Linked DNA regions of Notamacropus eugenii. The protein of the gene in region 3 interacts with the protein of the main gene of each other region in a biochemical or structural test. Links are inferred from orthologs where the notes say so. Each region holds a gene or a part of one and is shown on either strand. Other genes may lie near its edges.

Region 1 (7,265 bases), about 13 Mb from region 3:
GACCCCTCCTTTCCTTTTTCAGAAGGAGGCTTCACCCTAAGCTCATGATTTGAGACCCCTCCCCACCTGTCCACGACAGCTGGCCCAGGAGGTATTAAGGGGGGGTCAATGTTTCACCCCTTTCCTTCAAGAAACTCTGGATTCCCCCTCCCCAAATACAGTGCCCCATTACCTGGGGAAAGGAAGGTCGAGGCAGACTGTGGCACCTTGGGAGGTCTGACTCCCTCTTCCTTATGGACGCTAGTGGGCTTTGGGTGAGGAGGGGGCCATGGAGGGGTGGGTGTGCACATTAATGAGGCAGCAGGGGGCAATGATGGGGGTTCAGGATTCCCTAAAAGTATAGGGAAGGAAGGAAAAGACACAAAGATACTGTTAAAAAAGCAAGAATGATAGCAGGGAATGATATGGGGTATGTGGGGGAGATAACATGCTTTCCTCCTGCACTCCATCACCTTCTTGGGGCCAAGGGGAAAGACACAGACCTGCCTCCCTTTACAAGGGTGGGGTGAGGGAAATCCTCTCTCCGGGGGGTGGATGCTATTTCTAGGAGCCCAGCTGGGGCCTGGTTGGGGTGTGGGAGGCAGGGGGAAAGTCCCTTGGACTTTAGGGCCCAGGACTGGGGTTAGTTCTTTGAATTGAAACTCAGCCTTCTTTGTTGCTGAAGCCTCCCCAATCCAACTATTCTTCCTCAAGTTCCCCTAGGACAGGGGGAGCTCTAGGGGATAGCTGGGGACTTGAAGGAAGGGAGGGGTTTTGTTTGGGCACTGACAGATGACACTTACAAGTAGACGTGGGGTTGGGTATATGTATGTGGGGAGATTGGGGGATTAGGGTTTGAAGGGAAGGCTCACAACTGGTGATGATGTCTCGGGCTCGAAGCAGTTGTAGGTGAGTGAGGATATGAAGGAGGTCAGCAACCCGTGCGTTTTTGTTAATCCAAGGCCACATGATCCTGGCTGTTCGATCATGAAAACGCTCCCCCAGCCGTAGTTCTGTCTGGTCCTGAACAATGAGGGATGCTGACAAGCAAGAAAACGGGTCACCTCCACACAGTCTAGTCAAAGCTGTCCTTGGGCCATCTTGTCAAGGACAGAAGCAGGTTGGGGCTTGGCTGTTGGCTTTGGTGACATCCCACCAGGCCTTCCCCAGCCCTCGCTCTGACCACAATCCCTGCTGTGGCATGAAGCCAGTGCTGGCCCTGTCCTAAGTCACTCACACCTTGCATCTGCCCATGGACAAGGAACCCTGAGTTTTGAGTCACAGGACTGGAGTTCTAATACTGGCTCTGCCACTAACTTCACTGTGTGACCACGGGCAAGTCACTTCACCTTTTCTGAGCCTCAGTTTCCTCATTGAAAAATGAGGGAGCTGGACTAAATAATCACTAGTCTCTTTCAGTTCTCAATCCCATTTGTTCCCATAGCCCCAAATCACCTGCAAGAAAGAATTTGAAAAGCTTCTGGGAACAAATTGGTTGGTGGGAGGGAGAATAGGCCAAAGTGGCTTCCTTGGCCTGATTGCTTCCCCAGTAGGTTCTTTTCTGCCTTCTTGCCATCTCCCTCTCAGTTTCTGGCTATCTTTACTCTCCTCACATTGAATATTGGCCCTTTTTCCTCTTGACCTCACTCTTGGTGGCAAGGTGTTGGGGTGGGGGCAAGAGAAGAGCCTGATATTGTCCTTTTGGACTATACAAACCCTCTTGCACGGTCCTAGTTTAGAGTGGGGGAATAGATGGGGGAGGGCAAAGGGAAGCTTTCCTTTTTCTGCAAGGACCTACAGTTATTAAGTTTAGGGTTCATGAATTTACCAACAAGAAAGTGGTAGCCTCTGGGCAGCCAATCTCTAGAGGTCCTGAGCTTGAATTGCTTTCCTACCTGTCCCTCTGGGAAAGTGGCCCCTTCTGGGTTACCTCTCTAGGTCTCAGTTTCCCCCGCTGTCAGGTGAGAGGCTTAGATTAGATGATCTCTAAGAAAAATGATGGAGTATTGGATAGGGTGCTGGACTTGGGGTCTGGAAGACCTGATGGAATTCACACACTTAGTAGTTGTAAGACCTTAGGCAAGTCACTTAATGCCTCTCAGACTCAGTTTCCTCATTTTGTATTTGTTGCTGGGGACAATTGGGAGCCCCTGGAGTTTATTTCAGGGAGTGGGGGGTGGAAATGTGTGTGTGTGTGTGTGACATAATAAGACCTGAACTTTATAGGAAAATCACTTTGGTGCCTGAATGGATGGTGGACTGAGGTGGGGACAGGCTTGAGGCAGGCAGATCCCCTTGCCCCTCTACTCCCCTGCCTCCCCAGCAGTTATTACAATAGTCCAGGAGTGAGGGAAAGAGGGCCTGCATCTGGAGTGGGGGTAGTGTCAGGAGAGACAGTGGGGTCAACCCTCTATCCTACGCTCTTGAGGTGTCTCATGATTCTCCCTATCTCGTCTCCCTGGTACGCCGATCACACAGAGGGCACGGGTGGCCTGGGACAGAAAGGAAGGTGGCTAACGGGGGGGAGCGGCAGCCCCAAGGTTGACGACCAGGGGCGGAAGCAGATGGAAGGGGTTCCCCGGAGCGCACGGGCCATTCTCAGCCTTCGGGCCCTTTCCTATCCCGGTGCCCAGGGCTGGGCTGGGGGAGGGGGGCCCCAGCTTCCCGCCCGGGGCCACTTCCCCTCTCCTTCGGGCTGGCCCGCGGCCCCAGCGCGACTCCCTGGCCATGCCCCCTTCCCCCGCCTCCTCACCGAACTTGTACCAGTCGGTCGACTCCAGGGAATCCATCACTTGGTAGAAGCGACACATGATCCAGGCCGGCACCTCGTATACGAAACGCTGGGAAACGGAATCCCCAGATCTCCTCGGGCCCGCCCCCTCGGCCATGATCCTCCCGCGCGGCCGGCGCCTCCTAGCCCGCCGACGCCGAGGCCAAGGCCAAGGCCAAGACGAAGGCGAAGGCTGGCCAACAAGCGAGCGAGCCCCGGGGCTCCAGAACCAGGCCGGGCCAGGCGAGCCTATGAAAAATGAGTCACTTCCCCTTTAAATGGATCCCTTTAAACGTCCTGATGCTGGCGGGGGCGGGGATGAGGAGAGGAGGAGGAAAAGGCTGCCCCCTCTCGCTCCCGCCTTCCTCTGGGGCCGCCACGTCGGGCGAGGCTGGGGGGCGGGGCGAACGGTGGGGACGTCTGCTGGGCGTGGCCTGGGGAAAATGCCTGCCCTTTTTCTCTTCCTCCACTCCTCCCCCTTCCCTCTCTTCCCCCTCCTTTGGAGCCCGGAAAGGTTGGAAGTCTTCCAGCCGCCTTCCGGCCTCAGGCATCCCGGCCAATGGCTGAGGCGGGTCAGCCTAGGGGAATCCTGCTTGCCATCTAATGCCGCCAGGAGGAGGGCACGATTGCATGGGCCAGTGGAAAGTGAACTAGCCAGAGTTGGCCTCTAGGGTCTGGCTCTGCGACTAACTTGCTGTGTGGTCTTGGGCAAGTCCCTTGCCTCTCTGGCCTCAGTTCTGTTTCTGTAAAATGAGAGAGTTGGCATCAGTCACCCACCCGCCAGAGAGGTGATGATCTTGAAACGCAGAGCAGCATTTCGGGGCATGGCCAATGTGGGAATTACTTCTACTGGAACACACATATTTATGATGTTTTTTATTTTTTTTATTCAATGGAGAGGCAGTGGGAGGGGGGAGCTTTGCATCATTCTTTAAAAATAAGAGGATTAGGTTAGATCACAGACTCTTAAACATAGACCCCTTCTTAGAATCCTATTCTTAAATTGCATAAAATAAAATCCATAGGAATTACAAAGGAACCTGATTATACTGAAATGCAATCATCAGTATATTAAAAAAAAAATAAACTCACCTAGTTAACTCATAGACTCCAATTTAAGAACACCTGGAGCTGTTTCCTGTGCCTTTTATATTTATGACATTTTGGAACTATGTGCTCCCAACTCTGCTGATGTAGGATGCTGGGACCACACAGGACCTGGCCACAGGTAGCAGAGGCCAATCACTACCATGCATTGAATATGAGACGATGTACATTGTTATCTCTGTATGAATGGGTCTGAAGCCTTGAGATGTTCAGTAAAAAGAGCACAGACTTTTTAAAGTCAAAGGGTCCAGGTTCAAAAATTCCACCTGGTGTTTTATTTCCCCTGTCTTTGTTTCTTTCATTTGTAAAACAAGTGAGATAGGGAAGTTTGGGAGACCCCAAATCTAAGGTGAGAGAAGGCCTGGAATTGTAAGGGGATCTCTCACCATCCCATCAGCCCTAAGGGCTTAGCCTGAGGGTAGAGGAGCTTGGTATCTGCCCCCATCAAGTGACATTCCCTAATCCACTAGGATCCAGGCCCTGTTGGGTATGTTGTAGGGAGGGGGCTGCTGTTAGAGACAAGTGAGAGAATTCCTTTCCCCCCTCCATTTCTCTCAGAAATCTTTCGGTCAACAGGGGAAACAATTTACTGGATTCCAAAAGCATTTTATGCTGGGGTAAGGCGAGAGGGAGAACATTTAATCCTAACTTTCAAAAAAATAAAAATATTCAAGTCATCTAACTTCAGTGGCAACTCAAGGCTCTCCACTATCTGGTCCAAATGTACGTTTCCATCCTTAACCTGTGCTGAATGTTGGACCTGGAGTCAGAAAATCTAGATGTGACCTAGCTCTGGCTCTTACTAGCCATGTGACCTTGGTCAATTCAGCTCTAATTTGCCCATTTGTAAATGGAGAGGGTGTATCCTCTGCTTTGGCTACGCCATTCAGTCTTTGTCCCCACATAAACAGTCATTCTCACCTGGTTCCTAGCTACCCACCCTGTCCCCCATCCTCTCCTCTTATAGACTCTTCCAGAAAGATATCCACTTCACTTCAGCCTCAAAGCCTCATGGTCTGTGCTGTTCATCAGCTCCTAGGGGACAGGGTCCCACCATTTTGGGGTGTGGTCTCCTCTCCCCTCCAACCCTTTTGGATCCAGAGCAAGTCACAAGGGAGGGAAAAGCTAGGTGAAGAAGGGCCAAAAGGACCTACTAGAATGAGTTTGGGAAGGGGGTCAGAATTGGCAATCTCAGGATTAGGGTCAGGCTGAGGCTACCCATTGCCTGCTCCAGCAAGGGGGAGAAGCAGCTTACCAGTGTGGTTCAGCTGACAACTAGGTCAAACAACCACAGCACAAGCTAGAGTCGGGGAGGGTAGGGGCAGGCAGCACCCAGGTCAAGAAACCATTCCCTGTGTGTTAGGTAAAAGAAAGGTGACTAGGAAGGGCACCTAGCACCTTGGCCCATAAAAGTAAATAGTGGGACCCATTAAAGTGGCCCCAACCCCTTAAATCGCCCAGCAGGTTCACTCAGTGGGCCAAAGTTGATCTTTCCGGCAGGAAGGACAGTAGGGTGGGAGGGGGAAAACCTAAGGTGGTTGAATTAATTGTAAAAGGGCTAGGGGAGTAGGAGGAACAGGAAATTACTGAGGAGATAATGGAAAAGAGGACAAGGGGGGGGGGGGCTGGGGCGGGGCCCAGGGACTGACTACTAGGCCCTTACAGAAGGAGGAGGACCAAAGCAAATAGAGGAGGTGAAGGCAAAGACCCCAAACTCTCCCTCCTTGCTGAGCCTCAGTTTCTGAATCTGTAAAAAAGGGATAATCATAGCACTTACCTCCCAGGATCATTGTGCCATTCAAATGAGATGATGTCAGTAAAATGCTTGGCAAATCTAAAAGCACCAAGCACTGTGAGGTAGCAGAACAGAAACTCCTCCAGACGCAGCTCCATTAGAATGGCAAAGCTCCTGGAGGGCAGAGAATATGGGGCTTTGAGCTATGTTATGCCCAGTTCTAGGGACAGAACCTCAAACGTTTGGGATGGCAGGCTTGCAATGTCATTGGTATAAAAAACACTTATCAATGAATCAGCAAGCATTTAAGTGATTACTCTGTGCCAGACCCTGTGATAAGCTGAGGATGTGAAGAAACACCATGGACAGTCCTCGTTTTCCAGAAGTGTATATTCTAATGGGGCACACAAAACACACATACTGAGGTACATATGGGGCAGATGGCAGGTGATCTCAGAGGGGAAGGCCTCACTTGAACCCAGTCTTGAGGAAAGCCAGGGATTACAATAGGAGATGGAGCATGTGTGAGAAAGTCAGTTTGGGAGCAGTGATGAGGGCAGTGACAGGCACCTGCTCAGCCATTGCTGGTGTTAGGGGGCTGCTGGGGACACTGAGAGGCTGAGACTTGCCCTCCAGTGACACATTTGGTCTTGAAACCTGGTTTTCTTGACACCTTCTTACCCCCCCCCCCATCCACTACACTATACTACCTGGTGCTTGTTGACAAAGCTGCAAAGCTTTGCTCACTCTCAGGAATAGCAAAGAGAAGGTGTTAAAGATGCGTTTCTTTTAGGCTCTAACTACTTCTTTCTCTTCCAGCTCTCAGTACCTCTTTCCTTTCTAATGGCAGCAGAGGCTAACCTTATGGCAAAATACCTCACTGCACCCACATGGGGTCTGACATGTTTCTGTTCATTTTCTCTTGAAAAGACTGTGTGCTTTTATATGTAATGCATGTGTGTAACAAGGGAGAACACATCCCCACACTCAACACACTGTCCCCTTTCTGCTTATCCCCTGGATTCCATTACATTCCCCTTCTCCTCAGAGATGGCCCTTTTGGTCATGCCTTCATTTTTGAATTCTCCTTATCCACTGGTTCCTTCCCTATGAAATATGCCTAGATGATCCCCTTTCTTAAAAACAAACAAACAAAAAAACCCAAACCAAAATCTCCAAACCCTTCACTTAGTAACAATTGAATTGTAAAGGCAAACTGCTGTGAATGACTCCAGAACCCTGGTCAGTACGACCAAACCACACAATTCCAGAGGATAGGTGATATAGCATGTTACCCAGTTCCAGACACACAGGTGACGGACTTAGGGGACAGGGTGAGACAGATTTTTTTGGACATAGCCAACACAGAGATTTGTTTTGTTTCACTATGCAAATTTGTCACAAGGATTTTATTTTTCCTTCTTTTTCGTTGGGGAGGGGAAGAAGGGAAGGAGAGGTAGGGTTTTGCTCATCGAAAAAAAAATTTATTATTAAAAAATAACCTTTTACTTAATCTTACTATCCCTTTAAACTATCATTCTATCTCTCTCCCAGCCGGCTCCTAAAAAAGGCAGTCCATACTCAGCCTCCTAGCTGTTTTCCATGCCTTGTAAGTTTCTCTTTCTCCTCTCCACTTGACTTCCTTCAGATCTCAGCTAAAGTCCTACTTTCTGC
Region 2 (8,297 bases), on a different chromosome or scaffold from region 3:
TGGCAGACAGGCAATTGACAGGCCTCAAACCTGTCAGTGAGTTGGGGGATGGGCAGATGAGGAGGATTTGTTCCAGTGGCCATGCAGGTGGCTGAAGCAGGTGCTGTGGAGCACTTAGAGCTTGGTCAGACATCAAAGATGCCAAGATCTTTCACTGCATCCCAGGCTATTGCCACTCATGTTGACTTTCATCTTGCCACTGGATTTCAATGACTCTGGAAGACAGGGGGTAATGACTGTGCAAATCTGCCTCACTTAAATCCAGTTCATGTGCAAGTCAAGGCATCACCCTATGAGGTCATTGATCCTCTCTGGAAACAAAGGGTGAACACCAACATTGCTTCTCCCCTCCTTGTTGGCCTCCTTGTTGTTCCTTGAATGATACAGCACATCCCCCAACAATGGGAATTTTCACTGACTGTCCCCCGTGCATGGAATGCTCTCCTTCCTACTTGACAAATTTTTTTTTTTGAGAAGTTAGACAACACTGTTTATTCAAAGTGTAAATAGACAGGTTCAAGGACACTGGTATTTGAGCCATTTAAAACACTCACACACACACACACACACACACACGCACACACATGCGAGCACCCTTCTAACAAAATAAAGCAAAAACTCTCCCATTGACCTAAGGGGAATGGGAAAAAACCCAGATATGAAAACTGAGCCAAACAAACAACTACAGAAAACTGACTTCTAACAAGATACATTCTCAAGTGCAGAAATAGAAGCCAGTCAATAGGTCAAAGAGAAAGTGGTCACTGCTGGGTCAAATAATGAAGCCTATCTCCTCACTCCTGACTTTCTTTGAATCCCAGTTAAGATATCACCTTCTACAGAAAGAATTTCCTTATTCCTCTCTATTCTAATGCCTCTCTCCTGTTGATTTTCCATGTACCCTGTATATAGCTCTTCTATACAAAGATATTTGTGTGTCGTTGCGTTAGATTATGAGCTCCTTCAGAGAAAGGACTGTCTTTGCCTTTGTATTGCCAGAGCTTAGCACAATGCCTGGCACATAGTAGGCACTTAATAAATATTAACTTATTGACTGACTTGGTGAAGTTAGAAATGAAAGATCTGACTAATTTTTTTTTGTTCTGTGTGTTTGGAAATGCTCCTATTTAACTTCGGAATAAAAAATAAAATGTTTAAAAAAGAATCACCTTACTATAATGAGGGCATAGTTCATGTAACATAAATTTGTTGCTAATCACCAGTCAGCACGGATTCTTTGGAAGATCTAACAACAGAAATAACCCTGTTCAATGAGCCTCTATTATTAACCATCTAACCAGACATCAGACAGGGAGATGTATACTGGATGAAGATATTTGTCACCATAATTGAGGGGATTCAGTGCATAATCCAGGGTAAAGAAGGATTCTCCACTGATGGTGAGGTCCAGTCCTCCAAACTCTCCTGTTTATAGATGACATTATGCTGATTGCATCAGGTCCCAAGATGCTGTGGAATCTGCAAGAGAGCTGTAATCACTGGAAGATGTTTGGTCCAGCCATTCACATAGGAAAGACCAACTAGATGAATGATATCTATTGCTCAAACTTCAACATGCATCTGAAGAGAACCCTACAGACCCTGTTGGATAGTGTGTCTATCTGGGGTAGGTCTTTCAAGGGGATGGTGAACTGGGCCCAGAGCTGAAAAGGAGGAAGTGAATGGGCTGGATTGCTTTCAAGAAATTGCAGAGCTCTTTTACAGAACCTAAATTTCTCATTATAGTAAAGACTCATCTTTTCAATACCAAGATTTTACTTGTGTTGTTCCATGGTAGAGAGCCTTGAAACAGAGGCCACTGTCTCTGAAAAACTAAAGATGAGAATGATGAGAACACAGAGAGAAACTGAGAGGTGTGTGATGGTGCAAGTAGGTTGTAACATGTAACCAACAAGGAACAAAGAATAATTGCATACTTTAAAGTGGTAGATTGAATTAGTCAGTCAGTGTCTACTATTAGGCATTGAGCTAAATACTGGGGATACAAAAAGAGGCAAAGGCCCTCAAAAAGCTGGTAATCTACTGGAAATAATGTCATTAGTATTATTAGGGCAGCTAGGTGGCACAGTGAATCAGAGCACTGGGCCTGGAGTCCGAAGACTGGAGTTCAAATCTGACCTCAGACACGAGCTGATCTTGGGCAAGTCACTTAACCCTGTTTGCCTCAGTTTTCTCTTCTGTAAAATGAGCTGAAGGAAATAGAAAACAACTCTAGTATCTTTGCCAAGAAAACCCCAGATAGGGTCACAATTAAATAACAATAACAAATTATTATTAGCAGTAGTAGTGAGTATCTGAGTATACATCAAAAGGAAAGGTCAATGCTGGCTGGACTAGTCAAGGAAGGTTAGAGATAGGATTTTGGCCTGGTCTTGAAAAATGGGATAAGATTAGGAGAGTCAAAAGACTGAAGGACTCCAACCAAGTGAACATAAATGAAGCCACTGGGCACTTGAACCTCGAGTAAATTCATTTATCTCTCTGGGTCTTATTCTGAAGATGAGAGGGTTGGACTAGACAATTCCTACCTTCGGGTTCTAAATCTATGTGTTGAAAACCCAGTATCAACAATATATGTATCTGTAAGGCACCGTGAGCACTAGCTTGGTAAGGATAGAGGCTGAAATCAAAAGATAGGACAAATGACTGAGGAATTGATTAGTGCGTGAGCTTTCTAGTTTTTTGTCCCTTATGTGTTGTTTTTTTTTGCATCAGAAAAAATAGCAATATTTGTTAGTGTCTAGTAAACACTAACAAAGTAATGCATTAGGGTTGCAGCTAGAATTCAGCTTGCTGAATTTATTAGTTTTGCCCTTCTCCCCTCATACTTTTTGCTTAAATTTTATTGAAATTTAAATATTTATTCCCCAAATGATAAATGGTCAAAGGATATGAACAGGCAGTTTTCAGAGGAAGAAATTAAAGCTATCTATAGTCATATGAAAAATGCTCTAAATCACTCATAATTAGAGAGACACAAATCAAAACAACTCTGAGGTACCGCATCACACTTATCAGATTGGCTAACATGACAAAACAGGAAGAGGATAAATGTTGGAGAAGATGTGGGAGAACTGGGACACATTCATTGTTGGTGGAGACATGAGCTGATCCAACCACTCTGGAGAGCAATTTGGAATTAAGCCCAAAGGGCTACAAAAATGTGCATACTCTTTGACACAGCAATATTGTCTCTAGGACTGTATCCCCAAGAGATCATAGAAATGGGAAAGGGTCCCACATGTACAAAAACATTTATAGCAGCTCTCTTTGTGGTGGCCAAAAATTGGAAATCAAGGGGATACCCATCCACTGGAGAATGGCTGAGTAAATTGTGGTATATGAATGTAATGGAATACTACTGTGCTATAAAAATGATGAACAGGAAGACTTCAGAGAGGCCTGGAAAGACTTATATGATCTGATGCTGAGTGAAAGGAGCAGAACCAGGAGAACTTTGTGCACAGCAACGACCACAGCGTGTGAGGAATTTTCCTGGTGGACTTAGCCCTGCACAGCAATGCAAGGACCTAGAAAATTCCCAGTGGTCTCTTGAGGCAAAATGCCTTCCACATCCAGAGAAAGAACTATGGAATTGGATCGCAGAATGAAGCAGACCATTTTCTCTTGTATTATGTTTTGTTTTAAGATTTCTCCCATTCATTTTAATTCTTCTATGCAACATGACTAAGGTGAAAATGTATTTAATAAGAATGTACGTGTAGAACCTAAATAAGACTGCACACCATCTGGTGTGGGACGGAGTGGGGAAAGATGGGGGGAAGAAGGGGGAAAACCTAAGACATAGGGAAGTGGTTGTAGAAAATGGAAAACAAATCAAATAACTTAAAACATTTAAATATTTAACTTAATTGACTAATTTTAATTTTCAATCGCTAGCGTTCCCTCCGATTAGCTCCAGTTTATCCTGACCATTTGCACTTGGTTGTTTGCATGGGGTCTCTCCCACCAGCCTGTGAGCTCCCTGGGGGCAAGGACTGTCTTTTGCCTTTCTTTGTATCTCCTTCACTTAGAACAGTGCCTAGCTCCTAGTAGTTACTTAATGTAATTGGCCTCTACAAGCAGAATCTGACTTCTGACAAATAGATATTTTGTATCAGTCTTATTTTTATTTAAAAAAATTTGGAGAGGAACAGTGGTAGTGATGGGATAGACCACTATCTAAAAAAAAAGTTACAAACCCCGCATCGCTCTTAAAGTCACCATGTGTAGACTCCCGACAACGGCGATCCCTGCGGCGGGGGCTGGAGGAGCTCCGTAAGGGGGTGTCAGGGAGGCCTGTGCAGGTGGCCTCGGGGGGATGGGCAGGGAGCCCCCTCCCCCCCAAGGGTTCCAGCGGGGCCTGGGGGCCACTCTGGGGGATCTGCTGCAGGGATGAAGCTTCATTCATCCATCCTGGGTCAGGTGACCTCTGAAGTGCCCACGGAGGGGGGGGGGGCAGGCATCTCCTCGGTGCGGTGGTGAGACCCCTCCCTGGAGGTATTTCAGCAGAGGATCACTCTAGGGGAGGCCGCATAGGCAATGGCGCATGCGCAGGCCCAGCCCGCCCCAGACGCCTCTGCGAGGGGAGCCGGGCACGAACGGTCACGGGTCTTACGGCCAACGGCTCCGTGCACAGCCCGCCCGGGCCTAACCGTGGCCCACGCCCGCGCCCGCCAGGGCCCTCGGGCTCCGTTCTCCCGAAAGAGAGCGTTAGGGTGTGGCGTGGGGAGCGGTGTCGCGTTCCGTGCCTCGCGGCGCAGGATTGGCGGAAGGGCGGCGATAGCTCCGCCCCCGAACCAGCTTGGCCCGTCCGGGCCTGAGCTGCTGGGCAAAGCCGCGTTCGGAGGGTCTCCGTCGAGCTGGGGCGGGGCGGGACGGGGGCCTCTGCGCATGCGCCAGTGCACCCGGGCGGCGGCTGCGCGATTGGCGGAAGGGGGTAGTGACGTTAATGACCGGCGCCCACGCCGTGGGGACGCGCTTCCGGTGGGCGCCGCGGCGGTGTCACAAGTCTGCGACGTTGCCGTGGTGGGGCTGCTCGCGTCTGAGGCTGAGGCTGAGGCTGCGGCGGCGGCGGCCTGGTCGGCAGCGGCGGCGGCGGCGGCGGCTGCGGGGGCTGCAGGGGCTGCGGGGCCTGCGGGAGCTGCGGCGGGGCCCGTGGCAGTGGCGGCTGCGGCTGCGGTTCCGGGCGCCGGCTCTAGGCCCGTGTCGGCCTTCGCGGTTGCCGCGCCGGCCTGGTATGTACAGATGGCTGATTAGTGTCCTCCACTCCATCTTCCGGAGGCCACAAGATCGCCCCGGGCCCGCAGCGCAGCCCCAGCTCAAGAGGCGTCTCTCGGACAGGTGAGGAGGACGGGCGGGGCCGCGATCCACCGGGAGGCGGCTGCCTAGGGCGGCCTGAGGGCGGGGCTCCGGCCTCCATTTGTGCTTCCATCGGGAGAGGCCTGGCTCGATGGGCTGCGGGGCCGCGGCGCGGCCGCTTCCTCCTCTTGTAAACGGGGCGTCGGGCTCGATGAAGCCAGGCCGGGGTCCGGTGCTGCCCGGCGCGAGGCGGGAACGGGGGCGGGCCTTGCGGACATGCCGATCCTGCAGTGGATACGCGGGCAGGGCTTGCACCGCACTCGGCCCTCGTTCGGTGCGCGGTAAACCTTTGGTATCCCGGCCACCTCTGCCTTTGGCATTCTTAGGGGTTAGGTGCTTGAGCGGATCTGCAGATACAGAGTACCCAGGGAGAGGGGGGTCAGACATAGAAACCGGGTATCTTAGTGGAAACCCCAAAAGAGTTGGCTTGTAAACCCCTCCAGAGCCATTGGCTCCTCACCGTAGCCCCGGCCAGTACGCTTAGTTGTTTCTCTTTGTTATTTTGTGAGGTGGACGCTGTGAGTATTTTGTACCGTGTTTCACTTTTGAGGAGACTGAGGCTCTTAAGAAGTTAGGGACTTCTCCAAGGCCACGTTGTTACAAATGTCACAACTGAGATCCTTGTGACTTCCCGTCGGCTCTTTGGAACTTAACCCTCAGCCTCTGCTCAGAATGAGCTTATTGTCCTCGCAGGGGCTTGTCTAGCTAGAGGGGAACTAGTAGGGGTCCTGTCTGGGGAAATGAGGGCTGGAGTGGAAACGAACTCATGTAGAAGGCACCGTTTCATTTTAGATTTAGGGAGCCCAAGCGTGTGCTGCTTCACGTTCCATTTCTCTTTCCCCTTCTGTCCGGCTTCTGCTATGTTTATGCACTTACCATGAGACGTTTTGTAGTCATTTGTCTTATACCACCTGCGTCTGTAGAGTAGAGGTTCTTCACGTGGGGTCTGTGAACCAAATAGGCGGTGCTGGTAACGTTATTGTCATCAGCGTTGTTGTTTGGATGGCTGCGGGTCAGTGTGGTTGGTGTCCTTTGTAAGCCTCTGTGGTTTATTTTGTACATTTAAAAACAATATTCTGAAGAGGATTCCATAGGCTTCCCTTGCCTGCTGCCAGAGGCTTCTGGCGCACAAAACAAGTTAGGACCCTCCTGATGGTGACCCCCATGATGGGCCAGACAGCGTTATTTAATGTTTGATCTCCACCATCTCCTTGCCTGGCTTTGTGTTTAGCAGGCCTTCGTTGAGTATGGATTAACCTAAAGCCCATGGACAGAGTGGGATGTTTGTTCTGTGTCCAAAGTCCCTGTATTTTTATTGACGAAATCTTAAGATTGCTGAGGGGGGAAAAGGAGGTTTGTAGGTGGGGAGTCAGGGCATTCCTGATGTTATTTGTGGGCCTCACTTATGTCTTCAAAAGCCACAGGGAGAGGATTAATATTGCCCTCCTAAAATCCCCGAAGTACCTGGTGTTGAGGCACTGACATGCTGCTCAAATGGGTGAGACTGTAAACCCCTGTTTGGTGAGCACTGTTCCATAAATAGTTAGAGTATTTGAAGTGCTGAGATTTTCAACATAAATGAGCTTTTTTCAATATAAGCTGTTTTCCAAGTGAAAAGATCTGGTTGTTTAGTTAATTTTCTGTTGCATGTGATTATTTTCAGTGTTGTTGAAAACCTTTAACTGGCTCAAATGTCTAAATTACAATGCAATTTCCTGTGTATGAACCGAAATGATTGATAATATGTTGTTCTGTCTCAGAACATTTATTGGAACCCAACCAATAATAAAGTGGGAGTGGAGGAATGATGGAATAATTTGGTATATTTGTACATAATGGAGCGTTTATGCCTGACAAGGTAATGATGGTGCTTTTCTGGTTGTTTTTTTTTCTCAGCGCTCCAGCCACTGATGAAGTCCAAGCCAAAAGACCACGATTAGGTACTCAACGTTTACTTTAAACTCTCTGTGTGCTGTTGTCGTAGCAGACGTAGTAATAGTTGTTGTAGTACCTGCAGTAGTAGGTGGTGGGTGTTGTTGTAGAACTAGTAGAAGAAGAAATAGAAGGAAGGACAGAAGGAGAAGAAAGAGAAAAGAAAGAAAAGAAACTTGTTGTTTAGGAGAAAATGTTGTAAGCTACACCAACAACTGAGTGTTGTGGATTGTTTGGAGGCTGAAGTCCCCCTCCAGATCCTTTCCTCAAGCCCAGGGAGGTCTCACAAGCTATAAAGGCTTGAGTCCTCACCTGATCCAACATTGCAGGGAGTCATTACTAGTTAATGGTTTGATATTTGTTTGGCCATAGATGTTCATGAAACCATCTATATAATAGGAAGGGATGAGAGGTCCCTTTGGTGCAGAGAGCACCCATATCATGTGTGGATCTTTAGTGTTGGCCCCCATTTCTCTTTGTCCCAGAGAGCATTACAGACAGATGTCTTTAAATGGAAAATGTTACGATATAAGCCTTACTGAGATAGGCAACTTGGTATAATAGGCAGGGCTGGGGAACCTGCGGCCTTAAGGCCACATGTGGCCCTTTAAGTTCTCAAGTGTGGCCCTTTGACTGAATTCAGAATTCACTGAACAACAAATCCTTTAACAAAAGGATTTGTTCTGTGAAATTTGACCTTTGAAAGACCCATCATGTGTGGTCTCAAGACTGCAGGTTCCCCACCTCTAGTATGGTGGATAGAGAAATAACCTCAGAGTCAAGAAGATCTGGGGTCAGATCCCACTGTTGACATCTACTAGCTGTGTGACCTTGGGCAAACCAACTCTGAAGACTAGTGACACAGCAGTGCTCAGGTGGCTTCTTGAGGAGTTACCAAGTTCTCGACCAAAAAGCCCCACGTATTCACTAATACTTGAGAAGCTTGTGGTGCTTCTGAGGTGTAGGAGCCCCCATTGCCAAGA
Region 3 (8,061 bases):
GATCTACAGACCACCCATGGCTCTGTGGGTCCTGCCACTGCTGCCAGCCCAGGAGTTGAACTGGTGTAACTGGTTTTACTGTAAAGTGAGAACTATCTTTTGGGGGCTCTTTATCCTAGTGCTTAGTGAATGATGCTTGACATTGAAAAAGCCCTTCCCAATCCCCAAGAAGCCCCTTATCAGCCCAGGTTGCCCTCTCTACCCTGATTTTGAGGGGAAAAACAAAAGGCTCTAGCCTGGGAAGCTAGAAACCTGCCTAACACTTGCCAGCCTCATTAGACATTTTTCTCCTTAACTCTAGTTGAGTCAAAGTGGCTGTCTTCCTGCTCCACTCTGCATCTTTCCATCCATGCCTTTGGATTCCCCAAGCCTTCTCTGCCTCTTAGAATCTCTCTACTTCCTTGAAGCCTCAGCCTAAACACCATCTTCTCCATGGAGACTTTCCTGGTCCCTACAACTGTTAGGATCCCCCCTTCATCTCTATACTTTCTTATATTCATTTGGTGTACACACACACACACACACACACACACACACACACACACACACACACACACACACAGAGTCTTCTCGGACCTAAATTCCCTGGAAGCAGGGACTGGTTCTCTCTTGCCCTTATATCCCCTATATGTCTGACATCCTATAGACTCTTAATAACTGCTTGGAGGACTGAAGCACTCCTGGGAGTGGAAAGTTGTGGGCATGGACTTGGAGAGATTTTGGGGGCTACACGGAGTACTTTCAATGGATTCCTTTGGGACCACAGAGGTTCCCATTGAAATAATATTATTTTACTTATATGAAATGGGTCAATAGATAGCAAGACCTTGGACTGACAAAGGTTGGGAAACAGTGACTTACAGGAACAGAGGTACTTGAAACCAAGAAGGGCATGGTGAAAGCCAGGGAAAGAGAAGGAAAGGCTTCTCTTTACTCTTGCCCTCTTCTGCCAACTCATTCCACTCTCTGCACACTCCATAAGCTACTAATGGCCCTCAGGAAGCACCACTTTGTCATTTCAGAGTGCAAAATCCCCAATGCCCTGGCCCGGCTGGAGGGACCCAGCATTGGTGAGGAAGGATTAGGGTTGGAAAGGGCTGAGTTTGAATTCCACCTCAGGCCTTTACCTTGGGGATCAGAGCTCTCAATCAGAAATGCCAGCATGGTTAGGAGGCCCATAGAAGCACTGAGAAAGGTAGAAAAGTGTTTGGCAAACCTTGTAGCACTCTGGAAATGCCAACGAGCATTACCAAACTTGAAGAACAAATGATCCTAGAGCAGGTCTGGGGTGATAAGTGCAAGTTTAAGCCCAAACCCTGAATTCTAAATGAAACTTGGTGAAGAGGACACTGGGGAACAGGGGCTTCTAACCCCTGGTACAGGGGTGGGGCTTTCCTTCCAAGTCTCCAATCAGTTAATTTAGAAGAGTATTCCTTTCAGCACCCCAGAAACAAACCAACAACCAACCCAAACCATGATGACATTCCTTTGAAGGACTTCAAACACCCCTGGGGTCACAGGGCTCAGTCAGAGGGAAATAGTGGGGTATTTAGTAACCCTTAAGGGGCCCCAAAAAAGCCCCTTATCAGTCTATTCAAACCAGGCCTGGAGAAGACTGAGCCAGGTTAGATGAAGAAATTACAAAGATAAGCAAGATAACCACTCAGTTGATAAGCAAGAATGACCCACGACCTTTCCGACACCATTTGCCCTCAAGAAAGTCTCACCAGCCTTAGGGAGTAGCCTTCCCTCCTTCCCCTATTACCAGCCTCTCCACAAGTTGTCCTCTACACCCTGATTTTGAGGGGAAAAACAAAAAGCTCTAGCCTGGGAAGCTGGAAACCTGCCTAACACTAACTTGCTCTTGACATCAGGGGGTAAAAAAATCACGTTAGTAATTTGGGTTTTATTTTCCTCATCTATAAAATGAGGGTGATAATCACTGCCCTGACGCCAGGACAAGAAATCAGGAGAAACAAGATAGTATGAAAATAATCTTCAACAGAGGGCCCAAAGAACAGAACAGAAGGAACTGGGCCTTTGGAGATACTGGGAGACCGAGGACTTATGCTGAGCAGAAGCTGTGAGGTGAGTGCGCAGGTAGGAACAGAGAATCTGGAGCCAGAAGTGGGGTGAGTCCCAGCTCCTTCATACTACAAACGAGGAAAGTTGAGGCCCAGAGTGACTCACCGAGGCTCCCATGATGATGAATATGTGTGTGTCTGACTGGTGGAAGGCATCACCCTGGTACAATTCTTCCCGGAGAATTCCACACACTTGGGTCCGGCTCAGTGCCACCTGCTCTGCCATGTTGTTTTCTAGAGGAATGAAAGGATTGTGAGGGAGCTCTGGCAAAGAGAGAGTTGGAAGGTCATTGCCCCTCCCCCTAAGAGGGACAAGTGAACTCCCCAGGCAGCCCAGATTTCAAGTGGTATCTCCAAGAAGCAATTACCAGTTCAGAGTTTAGGAGAAGGGATAAAAAACGTTAGGTTTCTGATGCCTTGAGGGTATCTGAGGAGGCTTCCAGCAGTCACATTTTGTACCTGTTAAGCCCATTTTAAATATCCTACGTTTGGTCAGGATACTCAATGGCTAAGTCTGGGGATCAAAGTGGTGTTCCCCCCCCCCCCCTTCTTTCCAAAGTGGATGTCTGGAGGATGAGTTCAAGCTGGAGCCTCTCATCTGGGATTCTAGTTCAAGGTGTTCATAGCTTGAGGGGCAGGATCACAGGTGGGGGTTAATGTCGACTAGAAAATCAGGACCTAAGCAGGAACATTATTAATTCACTGATCTTCCTTCTGCTTTGAAGATAATGGGTCCCAGTCTCAGGCAGAATGCTAATTAGCTCCTTTATCCTCTTGCTTTGAAGATGATAGGGGTGGGGGTGGGGGTGGGGGTGGTAGGGAGTAGGGGGCGGGGTGGGGGAGGGGCCTAGTTCTGACTCAGTCACTGTCTGTGACCCTGGACAAGTTTATTTCTCTTGGAGTCCAAAGTTGCTTCCCTTTTAAGGGAGCTAGACTGACTGATCTGTACATTTCCATCCAGCTTGTATATTTTTTGCCATATGACCAGTATAACCAAGCACAAAATATTATTTCTTCTTGGCCTTTTCTGATGTCTCTCCTATTTCTAAAACTGGCCTGTCCCAGTCCTCACAGTCACTACTTTGGAAAATCCTCAGGATGCAACATTATCTGGCATCTGCATCAGCAAGGCACTGGACTGTGGAAGAAGACTGTTGCAGGTGCGTGGTTGTTTTGTTTTTAAAAAGAAGTCTCAAGGGAGAACCTAGAGCAAAAAGACAACCTTCTCCGCAAGGGGTTATGCCACTACCACCAGGGTCCAAATCCAGCTAACTGCAGTTCAGCCAGACCCCTGCCACAGGTTCGATTGTTGCTACCTGTTGGGGCTTGTTTCAACTTCCCTAGGACCTCAGTGGGATCTGATCTCCCTCAGCGGATGGTTCCGAAGGGTTAGAGGTTCTCCCTGATAGGTAGGTAGGAGAAGCAGAGTATTTCCAGTAGTCAGTTTGATCACATGCCTAAGCTAAAACCCCTTAGGGGATATAGAGGAAACTTTCCTTTAGATCTAGGCCCCCAGAGACAATCTACAAGGGGCAAGAAAGCCAGGCCAGGGCTGAGATGGGAAAGAGTACAGTATCTTATCTGAACAGGAAGGTCATCAATCAATGCAGAAACAGCCTTCTGACCAGGGTTCGGAGGAAGGAGATGAGGGAGGATGCTTGGGTAAAGAGGATCAAAGAGCCTGGAGACTAAGTCGAAGGAGGGAACTGCAGAGGCTTAAGAGAAAGGCTATTAGGATGGAGAGCTCAGGACAGAGGCCAGGATGCAGGGCGGGGCTGAGGATGGAGGAGGTTGGGGTTGGGCAGGCCGGGGGCCTCCTCACCAGTCTTCGCCTCCGGATCCTGGGTCACTTGCTGATCCGGCAGAGGAAGGGAGACGACCGGGCCCGCTGCTGCGCTCGGGTTAATGCCTCGTCTGCCCGAGTGCAGTTCGGCTACACTCGCCCGACTCCCCATCTCCTCCCCCTGGCCCAGCCCCGTTGGCCCCTGACTCCGCCCCGGCCCTCCCTGCTCCCCCGGCTTTGGCTCCGATCCAGACCTGGGATTCCGCACCTCGCGCTTCAGGCGCAGGAGAGCCCGCCTCCTCAGCGACATCTCTCTCTCCCACCCCCACGTGGCCTCGCCCGGCTCGCCGCTTCCGCCTGCGACGTGGCCACGCCCCCCGAGCCGGCCATGGGCCCGCCCTTCTCAGATCACGCTCCCTGTTCTTCTCGCCAAGCCGAGGTCTCCCATCTCTAGCCGGAAGCCCCGCCCCTTTGCTTATTTTCCCCCCCCCCCCCCCCCCCTCAAGAACTCCGCCCCTCGTTCCTCTCACTCCTCCTAGTTTTCTGATACCGGCCTGGAGTGGGGAGGGGAACTGATAAAGTGCATAGTCAGGGGCACTTAAGGTGACAGAAGAGATCGTTCCGAAACTAGGAGGAGGAAGCAGATGCTCTAGAAGATAGCTTAGTGCCTAGGATTTCTTTCTAGACCTAAGTGGGCCCTGGCACGGGAAACACAGGGTAAATTTCCCCCCACCCCCGCCAAAGGCGTTATTGGTTCAGTCCTCGCTCCCTGGAGGTCGGAGACAGCCAGAGGAAGGGGCGGAGACAGTCTGAGGGACTCCGAAGCTTTCACTTTTGCACTTCCGGGTTGCCGCAGCCCTCCGGCACAATCCGGAAGTGGGTGTTGGGTGGGGAGGAGTCGCTGAGGAGTCCGGGCTTCGGAGCCGTCGGCTGGGACCCGAGCTGGCGGATTCTTGGGGGGGGCCTCCGTCGCTACCTTCGGTGTAGTTTTCGCGGCTGCGTCCGTGGCGTGTGGACTCAGGCTCGGCCCGGCCGGGCCTGGCGGCTCCCCGGGCCCCGGTGGGGCCGAAGCTGAAGCCTGAAGGCCCGAGTCTCCGGCCTCCGGGGTGAGTCGGACGCCCAGGCCCCGCCCCTTGGGCCCCGCCCCCGCCCATGGCGGCCCCGCCCCTTAGCCCCTTCCCGCCGCCTGTCCCTTCACTCTGCTCTGCCATGTTCAGCCTCTCCTGCCTCATCTGGGCCACCGCTGCCGTCCGAGGTTTTGGGGTTGGCCTCAGGGTAACTGACTCCCCATTGGCCCAATTTCTCTCCCCTTCCCCCCGTCGCCGCCGCCCCCGCCCAGTCATTCTTCGTAATTCTGGGAGAGGGGAGAATGTGAAGGAAAAGAGCAGGTTTTTTTTTGCCACCATCTTTCTAGACTTCTGATGGGATTCCCACTTAACGGTGTGAGTCCGGGCAAGTTCCTGAACCTCTGATGTTTCATCTGTAAAATGGGTATGACAATAATGGACGCTACCTCCTAAGTTTGTTTTGGGGATCAGATGCCACAACTTGTGGAAAACTATGTAATTGTGAGCTCATTAATGGTGATAATAACGGGATAAGGCTGTGGCACTAAGGGGGCACCCTTCTCTGGAGTCATCGAAGTGGCACTGCCATGCCATTGGACTTGGAGGGTCTGGAAAACCCGAGTTCAAGTATCGCCTTAGACACTGGCTAGTGTGTGACTCAGGCAAGTCACTTAACCTCCGTTTGCCGTAGTTTCTTCATCTGTCAAATGAGAATAATAGCACTTATCTCCTGGAGTTGTTGTGAAGATCAAACGGGATAATAATTGTAAAGGTGACTGACACATAGTAAGCACTATGTCAATTTTAGTTAGCTGCTAACTTTCCACTTCATCTTTTCAGACCAATGCAGGGTTAGAGCTGGAAAGGACCTTGCCCACTAGATCATAAGGTCCTTGAAGGCAGAAGACTGTCTTTTGCCTCTTTGTATCCTCAGGTTAGCATGGTTCCTGGCTCATTGGTATTCATTTATGTTCTGTTCTTTTTGGCCAGGATACCGGAATGGTTTGCCATTTCCTTCTCCAGTGGATTAAGACAAAAGTGACTTGCCTCTGTTTCCTCTTCTGTAAAATGAGCTGGAAAAGGAAATAGCAACCACTCCAGTATCTTTGCCAAGAAAACCCCAAGTAGGATCATGGAGAGTGGGACATGACTGAAAAACTACTGAACAACAACAGCTTCTTGGCTCCAGACCTAGCGCTCTATGCACTGAGCCACCTAGCTACTTCCACATACTCTGTATAGCTTGGCCCATAGTAGGTGATTAATAAATGTTTATTGATTAATTGATTGAAAATGATATAATTTGTAGTATAATTTAGGGATGCTTTGGACTCAATCTGCCTAAGTTTGCTCACAGAATTTCACAGTTGGAAGGAGCCTCAGGAGCCACCTAGTTCTGCCCCTGTCCAGTAGAAATCCTGTCTAATATAGCTGGTCATCCAACCTCAGCTTGAAGATCTCCAGTAAGGGGAAACCCACCATTTGGGACACTTAACACAGGACCAAGCACATAGGCATTTCATAAAGAAATACTTGTTAACTTCCTGGGGTAGCTCCAGCCATTAGGAAATTTTTCCTGACACTGAGCTTGCTTCTGCACTCTGGGACCAAATAGCCCCCATAGAATTTCTCTTCCTGAGCTCAGCTATCTTCCTTGCCCCTCAGGCTTTTTTCCTTGGGCTAAGCATTCCTAGTTCTTTCAGCCTGTGATGATATGATATGATGGGGAAACTCTAGGCCTTTTGCCATCCTGGTTGCTTTCCTTCTTAACAATGCTGTCCTTAAATAGGTACGCCAAATGCAATACTCCTTGTAGTGATTTGTACTTTTCATGCACATGCTGTCTTGTATCTAAGTCATTGGTAATAATAATCGCAGCTAACATTTTTAAAGTTTGCAAAGCACTTTAATACATATTATCTGATTTGATCCACACTACGATCCTTGGAGGCAGGTGCTGTTATTTCTATTTTACTATTGAGAAAACTGAGAGGTTGGAAAAGTGACATGCCTGGGATCACCCAGCTAAGGAATCCTCATAGAATTCCAACTCAGGTCTTTCTTTGCTCCAGATCCAGGTCTTTATGCCCTGCGCCACCTAGAGGCCTAAAATTCTGTTTAACAGCATAGACCAAACATGGTTCTGGCCCACTCTACTGCTGATAGCCTGCCAAGTTGGCATCAGATTCACTGAACTGAGTCTAGCTGTTGAACCAGTTCTAAATCTTTCTTCTTGTATTGTCATTTAATTCATGTAGCTCTGTCTTTTCCACAAGAATAGCAGGAGATACGTCTTAAAACTCTTTATTAAAACCTAGGTAAACTATGTAGTATCCTCCCAATCAGTCTCATAACTGTCAAAAAAAAGCCTTGATGCTGACTTTTGGTAGCCCCCCTTCCCCATGCAACATGTAGATGTTCACTAAGCCTCTCTTTAGCGATGTGGGAGAATTTCCCTGAGGATGGGAGTCAAGTTCACTGGTATGTGTTTTTGCATGTTTTGTTCTCTTACCTTTTTGGAAAATTGAGGCATTTGCCTTATTTCAACTATACAGTGCTTCTCCTCTTTTCTCTGCTCTTTTGTTTGTCCACATCTGCCTGTTTTTATGATTGATGTGGACCAGGTGATGACTTCATTGGGGGTAACTAGGTACGCTCCCTTTGACTTCCTAGTAACTCATTTTGTCACCATTATTTTCCGAGAGAACAGGAGCAAAGAATCTGGCAGCTCTGCCTTCTCCTCTTCTTTGCAGAGGCAGGGTAGGGCAGCAGCAGCGGCTCAGAGGGGGGAAAAAACCACACATTTACATTATCTATGTTTCATTGTATTTTTATTTATTTTGTTAAACACGTCCCAATTACATGTAAATCTGTTTTCCTGCTGGGAGTGGGAGTGTTGCAGGACCTACTGGGTTTGATGCCTCTGGTCTTCACTCCAAGCATGGGTCTTGAGTTTCCTCTGATAGAGCTAAAAAGGCCTTTTTGTCACCCCTTGTTTTCCTGATCAACCTGACTATGAGATTTGGCCATTGAGAGATTATTGGATTTTTGGAAAGAGCAGTTTCAATTGAGTTGATGTCACAAGCAGATGGCAAAGGATTGAGAAGTGGAAGCAGAGGCATAGTTT
Region 4 (7,755 bases), on a different chromosome or scaffold from region 3:
ACTTTTGAGAACATGGATGAGTATTACAGAGGATGGATGGGTATGGAATTGATTTTGAATTACTTCATTAAAGGGAATTTCTGAATCGATATCACAGATTCATTTGAGTATAATGTCTAATGATTTCAGTGGTTTTGTACATCAAAATTAGTTATATTTGATAGCAATAAAAACGTGAAGAGTGAAGTCATCATTCTAATTACTGTTCTACTAATGTTACACATTTTATTACTGTGTAAGGAAGAAGCAATATTATTTTACTTGTCATATATTAGAGGGGAAAAATGTAATGTTGACATCCATGTTAAAGTGATTTTTCAGGATCATTTCATTTAATCCTTTTATAGCACAGATTGTGTGCCAATATCAAAAATCCAAACGACTCAGAATACAGTATAAATCAGAAAAAATGGTAACATTAATCAAGTGATGGATAGGATAATAACTTCATACTCCCTTCTTCACTCTCATCTTTCTTGTCAACAAATGTAAGTCCAGTCTTGACATATAAAATCACTGAAATCATTAGACATTATAATTTTTTTAAAAGAAAGCATGATGCACGTTATCAGACTTCTTAAAATGTATTTAACAATTGTGATTTTTTTTCCTCTCTAAAAAATACTACTATTTGTTATACGAAATGGTCCTCTGGGAGGGGAAGTAGGATATGAAACAGAAGACACCAATAAAACCTTATTTTTTTAAAAAACATGAAAGAAAACATGAGCCTTGGTCTTACCAAATCTTATAAGAGCTACCACCAAAGGGAATGTGTTATTTGCTGGGATTTTCCAGGATTTTGCAACAGAACATAAGTGTTATGGGTTTCAATAAGTTCTCCAAGACCATTTTCTCCTGATAATGTACTAGTGCAAATCCACCCACTATATACTGAAGAACAGCAGGCTAATACTCAGAGCCATTACTTCTACCTAGGGTGTGAGGGGGTGCAGAAAAGTAACACTAGAACAAATTCCCTCTCTCAGTCCCTGAAACACATTAAGGACTTCTTCTTTCCCCCCTAGAAACCACAGCCTAAAAAATTAACAATCGTATTATATCACAGACTTTTCAGTCAAAAAGCAAGGTAATGAGTTTATTTTTAGCTGAACTTGGGGGAAAGGGAACTAGGATAAGAACAATCAACTATCTTAAAAATGCAAAAGCAACAAGAGTTGTACACATGTACAAAGAACATGTCGTATATCAAACACTCATGAGCAACATTCTCTGGAATGCAAATTCAAAATTCTTATTTCCATCCTCCACATCACTGCCATATTAATATCCTAAAGGTCAGGTCTGGCCATGTCACTCTTCTAACCAAGAAACTTTAGTGACTCCCCACTACCTTTAGGATAAAACACAAACTCCTCTGTTTGCCATTTAAAGACCTTTACAATCTGGCTCTAGCCTACTTTTCCAAGCTAATCACATTATTTTCCCTTTTATTCATTCTACATTCTAGCAAAACAGACCTAGATTTCATCTCCTACCTCTGTGTCTTTATACATGCTACCCCTCATGCCTGAAAGGCCCTCTCTCCTGTGTCTCTCAGAACCTGCTAGCTCCTTCAGTTCATTTCTCCCCAGGCTGCAAATCTAGACTCCAACTTGCTTCCAAGTCAGGTACCTTCCTTTGCACCACTCCCTTTTTCAGCTTCCTTTTATGTATTGTCCTTACCCATCAGGATGCGGTTTTTTTTAGTCTACTCCTAGAAGGGACTGTCTTTCTTTTTGCTTGAATCTCTACTCCCAGTGCTTAGCACATTGCCTGACACATAATAAGCATTTTATAAATGCTTACTGACTGACTCCTTTCAGTGTCACCTCCTTCAAGGTCACCTTATTCCCCCCTCATTTTATATTTACCCTATATTTACTTATCTGTACACATACTAAATACCCCTAATAGCAGGCCCTCCTTGAGATATGAGACTGTCTCACTTTTTGAAAGACTTTGTATCCCCAGTACCTAGAATATAGATAGTAGATGTGTAATAAATTGTACTGATCAATTTGGATCCATATATGTTAACCACCAGACCATTTACTATTAAAGGAAAAAGAGAGATACCTTCTGTCCACAGAGAATTTTTCAACTAAAGAACTCCAAGTGGTTGTGTAACAGCATCCTCAGCCTGAGGATGGGCAAACTGAAACAGAAAGGAGAATAAATCAGCAAGAGCAGCAGTAGGGTGGGTACTCCTCTCCTTCCCTGGGCCTCAGCTACCTCATTTGTAAAGGGATCACGACCAAGAGTTCTTAACCTTTATTTGTCATAGACCCCCTTTGGCAGTCTGGTGAACCCTACAGAAACCCTTATCAGAATAAGGTTTTATTGTCTACTTTCATAATTTCAGTTAGGTTAGTGAAACCCAAGGTGTCATTTTTTTCCCCATTCAAATTCACGGATTCCCTGAAATCTGTCCTTGGACCTCTTCAGGGTTGGTGAACCCCAAGTTTGGGGATCCTTGGTCTGACGTGTGGTCTCTTCCAGCTCTAAATCCTACGAACATCTAATCCTCAGTGCTCTTCCCACCAGCCCCTATCTCCCCTTGTCCCACCGGAGGGAGTTAAGCAGTACTTCGAGCCCATCTACAAGTCTCTGGGTCCCGAAGGTGGACGCTGGCTCCATGGCAGCCCGGTGCCTCAGTTTACCGCCCCCTCCCCTAAGGGGGAGGAGCTCCTATTTACGACAGTCCCCGGGAGGGGGGGCACCACCGCCCCAGGCACCGGACGAGCCGCGGCCGTTAGTCGGAGTTGAGGATCCCTCTCCGGCGGAGGCCGGGACCGGCAGGCCTCGCTGGGAGCGGCGTGAGTCCGCGGGGTCGGAGAGTGACGTCGGCGGGGCCGGCGAGGCCCAGGTAACGGGCCGGGACGGGGAGCACTGACTTGGCAGGCGGCGGGGCCGGGGGCGTCGGAGGAGTGAGGGGAAGGCGCCCGACGAGTCTTGCCTCCCCAACCCCGGCCCACAGGCGCCAGCGCCGCCCGCCATTCGCTCACCTGAACGGGTCCGACCGGGCTGAAGCCCGGCTCCCAATCCTGCGGCCCCCGACTCCGGAGACCAAAAGTCGTCGCCACCACAGCCGACTATTTATCTCGGGGAGACGCGCGGCCCCGCGCAACCGAACCCGATACCTGGGCCCGCCCCCGCCTGCCCCGCCTCCAAGCCGGAGAAAAGGAAGGGAGGGAGTGGTAGTGGGTGGGGAGAAGTGGCATGAGAGCCAATCGGAACCCGAACGGCGTTCCAGCGCGCGCCAGGATTGGTCCTTCTTGTGACGGCCTTTCCGCCAATGCCTGCTGGGCCAGCTCGGTACTAAGGGACTTTCCGCTCCGTCAAGCTCGGTGGAGCCAAAGTGGGGGTGGGGGAGGGCTAAGAGAGGAAGAGGCGAGAGGGGGCGGGGACGGGGAGAGTGGCGTAGCGCTCTCTGATTGACTGTCTGGCTGCAAGCCTACAGCCATGATTGGCTGTGTGAAAGGAGGGGGTGGAGCATTACCGGTCCCAGTCCCTCTGGGCCTCAGCTGTCAAAACGCTTTACTGAACTGGGTAGGGCAGGGTCCACGGTCCTTGGGAGCTAATAAGCTTTGGGAGAGGCCAGGGCTCACGCCCTAGCTTGAGCTGGGAGTCCGGACTCCTGGGAGGCAGCCCGGAGTCCCGAAAAACCACTCTGTCCTTAACCCTGAACCATCGAGTTTCCCAGTCCCTCTGAGCCCTGTGCCTCAGTTTCCCCTTCTGGAAGGGGCTTCCTATCCCAGCAGTCACCCACTAGTCCTTGGGAGGTGGGGTCCAATTTAGGGCACTGAGGAGGATAAGGTATTGTCACACATTTAATTCATCCTTCCTGGCCAACAGCCAGGGCTTATGGTTTAGTTAAGGATCTTTCAATTAGAAGAGACGTTTTTGATTCCCACGTGAGCTCAAAAATATTTAAGGAAGTGATTTTTTAACTTAGTAGTGAAGGCTCTCAGGACACTGGATTCTTGTTAATTAATTCTTTCTCTAACAAATTAAGTACCAATTATGAAAGAGGATGAATAATACTCAAAGGAGGGATGTGGGAGGGGAAAGGTCTTAATCATGACATAAATTCTCCCTGTGGAAAAATTCTCCCACTTACTCCTAAGGGTCTGTGGGATTCATCCTGAGAGGTAAAAGCACAAAGGGGTGTCACTGTGCCAATAACTAATTACTCTCAGAATGGCTATCATGTACTACAGTCCTCCCCAGTACGTCATCCGGGGCGCAGAAGGGATGCCATTGTGAGACCCACGCTGGAAGCTTTTCTAATTTCATATTATCTGTTGGCATTTGTGCCCCCTTGGCATAGACTTCAAGAACCTGCTGTCACAGACCTTCATGACCCCTTTAGGGATCAATTCAAGACTCATCTTTAAACAGTTACTCCAATTCCCAAAGTGCTCTGGTATTCTCTAATTGTTTTATTGATGATAGAATTTCCCTAACAAGATCAGCTCCTCTAACAGCAGAAGGCTGTATCTTCTACTTATGTATTCTTTTCACAGTGCCTAGCACAGAGCTAGGTATATGGTAGAGGATCTTCTGCTTTCATGAAACATGCTCCACAGCTACTCATTTTAATGTATATGACCATTCAGCTTCCCATTGCTATACCTGGGAAACTCAAGAATATTTAGCTATGCCATTTAATCCCAGCAAAGAATGAGTAACAGAAAACTATGGGCAATCCTCCAAGAGGAAATTGTTAAATGCATGATTCCAAATTTTTTGTCTATTCTCAGCTCCCTAAAAAGATGTAAGATCCCTGTGTCTTTTTTTTTTCCTGTGCAGAATCTATTGAATTTAAGAGACTGATACCTAATGATAACAATACTGAGAATCTTCATTTTCATTCAGAAAAGGCAAGAGAGGTTTTGGGGTTTATTTCTGGAATGAGAATCTGTGCCATTTTCATTTAACATTTGACAACCAGGATTTTGTGAATGAGAAAAGGTCTCATATGAGCTCTTTTTCCACAAGAATTTATAAGTATTAACAGAAACCTTTCTGGACTGTGTAAACCTCTCTTCATTTCCCACCTGGCTACACTCATTTTACACTTCTTTGACTTCCCTACTATGCCCCCCAGTAAACTCATTGGGAAATCTCATCATCTTGTCAGATACAAATCAACCTTGACACCCACATCTCACCAGTACCCACTGCCCTTCCATTGGAGGGGACACAGGAGAGAAATATCCTGACATCTCATTTCCTATCCAGCTGTACTCATGTTGGACTTCTTTGACTTCTCTGACTGCACTCATTTTGGATTTGATTTCTCTACCATTCCCATGCCCGGTACATTAACCCCCATTCAGCATTGTCTTCCCCTGTTAGATTAGGGAAGGAACTATCTTTTTCCTACTTGTATGCCCAGAACTTTAGCACAGTGTCAAGCATATAATAATTTCTTAATAATTATTGACTGATTGACTATTCTTTCCAAATGCCCACTCACCCTTAGGAGAACCCTCAACTCTACTCCTTCTTTGGAGGATATTAAAAGCAGTAACCACAGAGAGATTAATCCGCCCAATCTTGTACATAGGCCTTAGAATGCTTTTGGGGAATCCCTGCTGGACTTTGAAACTTGGTTTTCAGCTATGACTTTCCCATGCTGAATAATTTCAAATCAAGCTACTTTAGAAGATTACTCTTATCTATGAAGAATTAATGATTGCTGTAAAAAGTCCTGTGCTCCTCACACACACACACACACACACACACACGCACACACACACACACACACACACACTCCAATCTGCTAACTTCATTTATAGTTTATAATCTCATGTAGATTCTTGCCTCAAAGAGAACAAGGCTATAGAACAAAAACAAAAGCTTTGTCATCAAAAGGTTACAAAACAGGGTGGAGTCAAGATGGCAGAGTAAGAGGAAGTATTTTTGCTAGTTCATCCAGATACCTCCACAACCTTCTAGAAGAGGATCAAACTGAATTCCAGGCCACAAGGCCATTAAAAAAAAAAATTCCAGTGAGTCATTTTTCCAGCCCAGTGATGCTGAGGGAAACAAAGAGGTATGCAGATACTGAGGCCAAGGCTGGCCATGAGTGGGTCCTGGCCAATAGAAATTGATCAGTGATCAGTGGAACAGAGCAGGCATATGATATACAGAAGCAAATGAGCACAGTAATCTAGTGTTTCATAAACCTGAATGCCCAACATTGAAGCAAGAATTCATTATTCAACAGAAACTATTAGAAAAGCTGGAAATTAATCTGGCAGAAACTAGGCATAGACCAACCTCTCATACCATATCAAGATAAGCTGAAAATAGGTAGATAATTTAGACATAAAGGGTGACATGGTAAGCAAGTTAGTGGATCATGGAAGAAATTACCTGTCAAATCTATGGACAGGGTGATGCTTTGGTCATGTTAATGACCAAACAAGAGAAAGAAGTGGCAAAAGAGATCAATTTGATTACATAAAATTTAAAAGTTTTTCCACAAACCCAATCCAACTAAAATTAGAGGCAGGAAATTGGGGAGTGGGGGAAGGGGTGGGAAATATTTGCAGCAAATTTCTGTAAGACAGATACACACTAGCACACAGGAGGGCCACTAGCACAGGTTCATTTTTGATCTGGTCAGACATATAAAGACACTAAGAAAGCTTTGAAGGGGTTAATAATCTTACTTTATTCAGGTCTAGTCTCCTCACAAGGTTGCTGATAATGGGAGCACTAACTCCTACAGCATTCTCTAATCACCCTTCTCTCAGGGGCCAGCAAGAAGGGGGGCTGCTACCCCTATGTCTTGATGGGGTCAATTGAGACAGTCACAGCTTGTGCATTTCTCTAAATCTCCTCAAGCCTCAGTGGGGGCCAGTCAAGGCACACATACATCAATCCAGTTTGTGCATTCAACTCTAAGGGTTTCCCATTCACTGACCAGTGCCCACCTGCTTTATAGGGCAACAGACAAAGAAGGCATATTGCCAACAATAGCCTCACAAGTTTACATCACCTCATCCCTATATCTTACTACACAGTCGCAGTGGATGTTAATAATTTAAGTACAAATATTTATATCATTTACCATTATATAACTGTGCAAGTGTGATAGAGGTGTTTTTTGTTGTTGTTATTCTTAGTTCAATCTGTTTTTTAATTTTTTTAAATTAATTTATTTTGTTTTCAGTTTTCTACAATCACTTCCATATATCTTACATTTTTTCCCTCCCTCCCTCCTTCCTCCCTGAGACGGGGTGCAATCTTATATAGGTTCTACACATACATTCTTATTAAACACATTTTCACACTATTCATGTTGCATAAAAGAATTAAAATGAATGGGAGAAACCATGAAAACAAAACAAAACATAACACAAGAGAAAATGATCTGTTTCATTCTGCAATCCAGTTCCACAGTTCTTTCTCTGGATGGGGAAGGGATTTTGCCTTAAGAGTCCATTGGGAATTTTTTAGGTCCTTGCATTGCTGTGAAGGGCTAAGTCTATCAGAAACAGTCCTCCCAAGGTTGTTGCTGTGTACAAAGTTTTTCTGGTTGTTCTCCTTTCACTCAGTATCAGTTCATATAGATCCTTTCAGGTCTCTCTGAAGTCTTCCTGTTCATCATTTCTTATACCACAACTTGTTCAGTCATTCCCCAATTGATGGGCATCCCCTTGATTTCCAGTTCTTGACCAACACAAAGAGGGCTGCGATAAATATTTTTGTACATGTGGGACCCTTTCTCATTTTTAT

Evidence for each region.
Region 1: the proteins of IKBKG (region 3) and IRAK1 form a complex in vitro, tested with the Homo sapiens proteins (3 studies listed by BioGRID). The link is inferred for Notamacropus eugenii from reciprocal best matches to the Homo sapiens genes IKBKG and IRAK1.
Region 2: the proteins of IKBKG (region 3) and SENP2 form a complex in vitro, tested with the Homo sapiens proteins (2 studies listed by BioGRID and IntAct, with this or other methods). The link is inferred for Notamacropus eugenii from reciprocal best matches to the Homo sapiens genes IKBKG and SENP2.
Region 4: the proteins of IKBKG (region 3) and CYLD form a complex in vitro, tested with the Homo sapiens proteins (3 studies listed by BioGRID, with this or other methods). The link is inferred for Notamacropus eugenii from reciprocal best matches to the Homo sapiens genes IKBKG and CYLD.

What each region holds. Positions count from the first base shown.
Region 1 is NC_092879.1:22,992,637-22,999,901, forward strand, and holds the start of IRAK1 (interleukin-1 receptor-associated kinase 1), read right to left. Parts: upstream 3,012-7,265; 5' UTR 2,868-3,011; coding exon 2,732-2,867; intron 1,020-2,731; coding exon 852-1,019; intron 332-851; coding exon 173-331; intron 1-172.
Region 2 is NC_092873.1:55,939,499-55,947,795, reverse strand, and holds the start of SENP2 (sentrin-specific protease 2), read left to right. Parts: upstream 1-4,939; 5' UTR 4,940-4,972; coding exon 4,973-5,364; intron 5,365-7,278; coding exon 7,279-7,322; intron 7,323-8,297. UniProt on the Homo sapiens protein: Protease that catalyzes two essential functions in the SUMO pathway.
Region 3 is NC_092879.1:10,232,821-10,240,881, forward strand, and holds the start of IKBKG (NF-kappa-B essential modulator), read left to right. Parts: upstream 1-4,711; 5' UTR 4,712-4,973; intron 4,974-8,061. Other genes in the region: G6PD (glucose-6-phosphate 1-dehydrogenase), read right to left, coding at 2,191-2,318, 3,907-4,177. UniProt on the Homo sapiens protein: Regulatory subunit of the IKK core complex which phosphorylates inhibitors of NF-kappa-B thus leading to the dissociation of the inhibitor/NF-kappa-B complex and ultimately the degradation of the inhibitor.
Region 4 is NC_092872.1:465,962,788-465,970,542, reverse strand, and holds the start of CYLD (ubiquitin carboxyl-terminal hydrolase CYLD), read right to left. Parts: upstream 3,167-7,755; 5' UTR 3,009-3,166; intron 2,159-3,008; 5' UTR 2,080-2,158; intron 1-2,079. UniProt on the Homo sapiens protein: Deubiquitinase that specifically cleaves 'Lys-63'- and linear 'Met-1'-linked polyubiquitin chains and is involved in NF-kappa-B activation and TNF-alpha-induced necroptosis.